Macaca mulatta: one gene and its partner. The protein of the gene in region 2 purifies or fractionates together with the protein of the main gene of each other region. This does not show direct contact. Links are inferred from orthologs where the notes say so. Each region holds a gene or a part of one and is shown on either strand. Other genes may lie near its edges.

Region 1 (2,917 bases), on a different chromosome or scaffold from region 2:
AATCATTTTTCATAAAGAAAATTCCACAGGCTTGCTCAGTATTACCAAACTTCCATAATGAACATTATTTTGAGTGCCAAATTGGGCAGGAAAAAACACCTACTTTTAACTATTATGAAATACTATGAAAAGTAGTAAGACTTACTAGGCTGGTTAAAAAGTACTTTAAAACCAAGGAGAGTTAAATCTTCCTTGAGAACATACTCTCAGAACTTAAGAATGGGGTAAAAATCAGATGGAGCACAGCCATGCTGTACACGTCAACTCACTGAAATCACGTAACTTCTATTCTCATGGACCTTATTTTCCGTTATCTTGAAAACAAACTGGTTATAATCTCCCAAAATACCAGCAGTACCTCAAAATTTAATCAACTCCTTTCCTGAACAGAATTAGGACTTTCAATTAAAAACACTGTAATATCCGAGAGGGTTTCAATGCAAGACAAACCTTTGCATCATAATTTCAAGTGACCATATATAGTGGACTCCCCTCCAATAACACGACAGACACAGACAAGCTATCGAGCAAGAATCTGTTAACAGTTTTATTTTTTTTTATGTTAAATACCATGGGACAGGATTGTAAGGATGAAAAACTCAGTCAACAACTGCCTCACAAGGGATAAGAAAAATTCTGCCATGATATTAGCAAAGGTAAAGGAGGAAAAATTTACACTGTAAGAGGCACCATTTCCCCAAGGAATACCTCTTGGCATTTCCTGAATGAGTGGGATTAGCAATCTAAATAAATCATATTTCAAGAGGTAACAGCAACAGATAAAATTTAAAGGGATTATTAAAATAACATTTACAAGACTCTGAACAATTCTTGAACTCTTATTAAAACCACAAAGAAAGAACAATTCTTTATTTATGAATTTCATAAAGGACTGAATGTGCAACTGACATCTGCTAGTGATGATCTGGTACTATACAATTTGTCCAGGAGCCGAACAGTTTGTTTTTATTGGGTTTTCTAACCGTGAGAGATCATTAAAGGCAAAGCCTATATGACGCTGTACACACAAAAAAAATGGTCACCGCGGGCCGTACTACCAGTGAAATGGTAGGTAAACAAATCTTTTTCTGGTCAAGAGAAAAAAAAAAGAAATAGCACTCTGCATGCTTCACTCTACAAGATGAATTTCCCTAGAAAGAATCCAATGAAAATGGCTGCAATTACAACAAGAAGTGAAGGAAGAGGACTGGTGACATTATCTCTGAAGGATGCAGTTGAGGTTGATCCAGGTTTATCCGAATGTGCTACCTTTCTGAGCCTTAAACCTTCATCCTAGGAAAAAAACAAACACACAAAAGAGGTTTTTAAAAACAAGCATACTAATGAGACTACTGGAGCTAAAAATCTATAGGGACGGAAAGTAGATTAGTGGTTGCCTATGGCTGGGGACAGAAACAGGGATTAACTGCTAACCACATAAGGAAACTTTCCCGGGGTGATGGACATTCTAAAACTGAACTACAGTGACAGTTATAAAGTTCTGTATTTCAGTGAATTGTACACTCACAGTGGGTGTCTCCATGGGATATAAATTATACCTCAATAACACTGATTTTTTAAAACTGGAGCTGAGAAATGTATTCCTAAAAAATAAAAGTCAGATATGGCTATATTTACCTTTTATTTTAATCCCACTAAAAACATAATTAAAGAAGAGTACTTCCAAGGCGGCCCGTGGTATTTAAAATCAGTTACATCTGTCCTAGCCCGGTCAAAAACTACCAGACCCGCAGTCTGCCAGTTGGGTTGACTGACCCACTGCAACTAAGGAACCGAAACAGCAGAGCCACAAGAGGGTATTCTTGCCAAAAACACAGATACGGTTATCACAGAATTTTGGGGGAAGGAAACGGTTTAGCGTGAAATTTAAGTCACAGTGTTTTCACAAGCTCAAAGCAAAGCAGAGGGCTGTGTGTAAAGGGATAGCACCAGGTCTGGACTGCAAAGCAGAGAAAGAATACTGTTTCTTCAGGAACTACAAATTTAGATGAGAAATGTATGTAGGAAACCCTTATCTGAAGCTCTGCACCTGGAATGGAAACTGAGGGTGCTTCTCTGTGTCAAAACGACAGATCCTCCAGTCAAGAGTGGGCTGCTTCATCCTTGCTGATATGGCTTCACACGGCACTATGTCCTTAGAGGACAAGGTTTCTCAGAAGAAAGCAGAAGTCACTCCAGACAGGAGGTTGTTACGACACTGTGTGCAATGTGAACCTTGGGAAAAATACTACTACCTGTTAACTATGCAGTTGTCTTTATCTGTGTCTGTTACCTCCCATGATTGTTTTACTGTGCTTATAAATAAACACTAACTAAAAGAGTACACCTAATGGCACAGTTTTATTTGCATTACTGGATTTTCTGGAGTTGGGTTTTTTTGGTCTCATGCTAATTAGTTCTATATAAAAACAGTAGTAATTCTCGGTTTCAGCTACACATCACAAACATCTACAGAACTTTTGATACTCCTGTGATTCTGATTCATTAGGTCTTGGGAAGGCCTGGTAAACTGTAACTTTTTAAAGCTCACTAGGTGATTCACATGCAGTGTGAATTAAGAACCATAGGGCTAGGGGAATTAAAACGGATAGTGAACAGACAGGAGCAAGAAAGTTAACATGGCAAAAAATTATGATGGGCCTGTGTATAAAATGCTAAAGGGTCTGAAATTCTGTAAGCCAGTGGGTCTCCAAGGTTTTTGTTTTATTTTTTTTTGTTTTTTTGAGATTTGCTCTTATTGCCCAGGCTGGAGTGCAACAGTGTGATCTCGCTCACTGCAACCTCTGCCTCCCAGGTTCAAGTGATTCTCCTGCCTCAGCCTCCCAAGTAGCTGGGATTGCAGGCACCCGCCACCACACCCAGATAATTTTTGTATTTTTAATAGAGACAGGGGTTT
Region 2 (3,543 bases):
TGCAAGTCAGGTTCTTAGGAAGGAAACCTATCAATGACCTTTGACTGCTCTGAATATATGTTTTAGGTCTTCTTCTGATACCAGATTTTAACAAAAGACATGACACACAAAATGTGAAACAGGCTTACAAAGACAGAACCATTCTTTCACACTCCTAATCCAGAAGCTATAGTTCAAGACAAAAGGCAATTATTTCAGAAAAGCATAAGAGCTCTAAGGCAGAAAAAATACCTACAAAATCTCAGCAGTAATTCTGTGCTTCTTGCCCCCATAGAAGGGTTTAGTGTGGAAGATGATATTTGCACTATAGCCTGTTTTGGAACAATTAATATTGCATTCTCCTCCTAATTCCACCCAGGGCACTGTGAGGATAGACCTGCAAAATCAAAATTTTTAGGTAAGGTTGACAGTTAAGAGGAAGAGGGGGAAGGGGCATGTTTCAGGGAACAGCAGAGTCTACTGCTGATGACAGGAAATGAGCACACTTGCCTTCCATAGCCATTGGGGAATGTGAGAATGTAATGTTCATCATAGTCTAGACATGAGACACAGCCTGTGGAGAGAAAGGACAGAATCTCTGATGAGTAGTGCCAAGTGGCCACAAGGCTTTCTTGTCGAGTTGATGGATACTCCATTCAATTTAGGGATAACCTATCTAGCTCCCCACCCTTGCTCTCACCCCCAATACCAATGCTTAGTTGCTAACAATGACATCTAGTCTAGCCATTTTCTTTTACTAGACAAGTGTCCATCACACATTAGAATGACATAAAATTCTCCTATAACACTGTAGTCCACCCAGTGCCAACACACTTACCCTGCCCTATGTTGTGCACCCCAATTGACATCCCAAGGAACTTTGATTTGGTCCAGATATGAGCATTGAATTGTATCTTCTTGTTAAAACACTCAGCATAAAAGGCTGAAACTGAATAGAAATTTTCAGTTAGTACATTATATACCTACAGCCACCTCTCCAAAATTACATAACCTAGGGAAATAACTGGCTTCATGGGGAAATCCTTTACCCTTCAAACAGCCTCCAATTAGGCCAGGAGGTACCTACCTTTTATACCCTTTTCCCCAATGCAAGCATTCATTCAGAGACATGTGGACAGGGTCATCCCTGAAATGATGCTGTGGCCAACCCAGGAAGCCTAAAACCAAAAGGGCTATCTGTTCTGGTCTGCAAGTATGCCCAGGCTCCAGCCCCAACCTAGGCCCATCCAGTGTTTCCAGTTTTAATACTGCACTAAACAAACAAGATGTTGAGGGTATGTACAGTTGACCCTCCATATCCATGAGTTTTGTACCCACAGATTCAGCCAACTGTGAGTCTAAAATATACAGAGGCTGTCCTCAGTGGCTAATGCCTGCAATCCCAGTACTTTGGGAGGCCAAGACGGGAGGATCACTTGAAGCCAGGAATTTGAGACCAGCCTGGGCAACAGAGTGATACATTGACTCTAAAAAATAAAAATAAAAAAATTAGTTGGGTGTGGTGGCACACGTCCATAGTTCCAGCTAATTGGGAGGCTGAGGTGGGAGGATCATTTGAGCCCAGGAAGCCCAGGAGGCTGCAGTGAGCTATGGCTGTGCCACTGCACTCCACCCTGGGGCACAGAGCAAGACCCTGTCTAGAAAAAATAATAAAATACAAAATAAAAATAATACAAATAAAAGAAACAGTGAAATAACTATTTACGTAGCATTTACACTGTATTAGGCATTACAAGTAATCTAGAGATGACCCAAGTATACAGGAGGGTGTGCATAGGTTATATGAATATAAAAGACACCATTTTATGTAAGACACTTGAGCATCCTCGGTTTTGGTATCTGCAGTATGCCAGGAATACACTGTGTAGAAACTACGTATCACTTATATAAACTGTCTCACAGTTGCTGAAGTCTCTACAGCACAAATTACTATATATAAGATGACTCTGGAAGCATTAAAAGTTGGTTTCCTAAATTCCTTCTTTTTATACATACCTAATTTGTGAAGCTCAGAGTCTGGAGCTTACAAAAGGAAAAGATATGAGGAACCAATCAACTTGAGTTTCCACTTCAGGGAATAGGAAACACACAGCTAGTCACACAACTAACAGTAACCTCAGCTATGGAGCTTTTAATGACCCTCTTTAGACAGGACAGTTGGAGAGCAGAGGTTGCAGAGGAGCTCTGTGACTTACTGGGTGGATGATGGGAAACCTGCTCAGCCACGAATGTTACACTGTTTTTGGAAACCCAGGGAACTGGTCCTTCTGAAACTAGTTCCTGCAAGCAAATATAACATAATTTTCTTTTGATGAGAAAACACAAATGACATCAGAGAATCTGATAATTGGGGTCTCTGCTCGCTCTACACACACCAAGCACCCTATATATATTTCTATTGCAGAACGTTATTCAATATTTTAATTGCTTTGTGTCAGTCTCCCTGACTAGACTAAGACATTCTTAAAGGCAAGGATCATGTGCCTCACTCAGGGCTGACAAGAGTAGGCACTTACCAATGTCTGCCAAATGAGTAAGAACAGACACATGCTTCTCTGTCTTCAGTATGGACTATATATAATGTGTCACTTGGAAAGGGAAACATATGGAGAACCATGTTTACTGACAGATTATTATGTGTCAGGTGCTGTGGGCTATGGTTTTGTTTTTTTCACTTCTGAAAGCCTTTTTACATGCATTTGAGTCTTCCTTGCTGGACATTTTCTTCAACCACTAAATTTGTTGGAGCCTCAGTTCTGGGTTACCTACTTCTGTAGCTATGCTGTCTTCCTAAATAATTTTATCCAATCCTAGAGCTTTAAAATGTCATCTAACTACACTATAATCTTTGAAAGCCCCATCTCCATCTCAAACCTCTCCCTAAACTCCACACTCTTAAATTCCAACTCCCTTCTTAACAGCTTCACAGACCTCTAAAACTTTATATTTTATATTAGATTTTGATTTTTCCCTCCCCAAATCCAATCTTTTCCTTATCAGTAAATGACACTGCCACTGCTTAAGTCCACACACAAGGATTCATCTCTGATGTCTCCTTTCCCTTACCCCCCCCAATCCATCAATCACTTCTACCTCCACAATAAAGCTTGAATCACCATGTCTCTCTTGGAATAATGTCAAAGCCTCCACAATGGTCTCCATGCTTCTATATTTGTCCCTTCTCAACTTACTTTTCACAAAATCATTCTAATGATCTTCTCAAAACAAAAATGAGATCCTGAAAAACCATAAAATTATATTATGGCCCACAAGACCTTGCAAGATCTGATTTCTACATCCCCATCCTCATCTCATCCTACTCTTTTCCCTCCTTCTCACTACATTCAAACTATGCTGCTCTAACAACAATTTCTTCTATGGGTGGTGACCATCTTTTGATCATTGCTTTCATCATTATCATCTGCTCCTAAATAAAATCTTGAATCAGTATACAATTAAGATAATTTAAAAATGTCAATGCAGAACTCACAGTGTTCTCTTCAGTATCATTTGGTAATGTCCAATGACACTGAAAAATCTCGC

Evidence for each region. Proteins that work in one complex are often made in the same cells at the same time.
Region 1: the proteins of OSBPL9 (region 2) and VAPA purify together in Homo sapiens (co-immunoprecipitation; 5 studies listed by BioGRID and IntAct, counting the BioPlex papers as one, with this or other methods). This does not show direct contact. The link is inferred for Macaca mulatta from reciprocal best matches to the Homo sapiens genes OSBPL9 and VAPA.

What each region holds. Positions count from the first base shown.
Region 1 is NC_133423.1:80,914,303-80,917,219, reverse strand, and holds the end of VAPA (vesicle-associated membrane protein-associated protein A), read right to left. Parts: intron 1,294-2,917; coding exon 1,135-1,293; 3' UTR 524-1,134; downstream 1-523. UniProt on the Homo sapiens protein: Endoplasmic reticulum (ER)-anchored protein that mediates the formation of contact sites between the ER and endosomes via interaction with FFAT motif-containing proteins such as STARD3 or WDR44.
Region 2 is NC_133406.1:188,884,245-188,887,787, forward strand, and holds part of OSBPL9 (oxysterol-binding protein-related protein 9), read right to left. Parts: coding exon 3,491-3,543; intron 2,281-3,490; coding exon 2,196-2,280; intron 929-2,195; coding exon 818-928; intron 554-817; coding exon 490-553; intron 377-489; coding exon 236-376; intron 1-235. UniProt on the Homo sapiens protein: Interacts with OSBPL11 to function as lipid transfer proteins.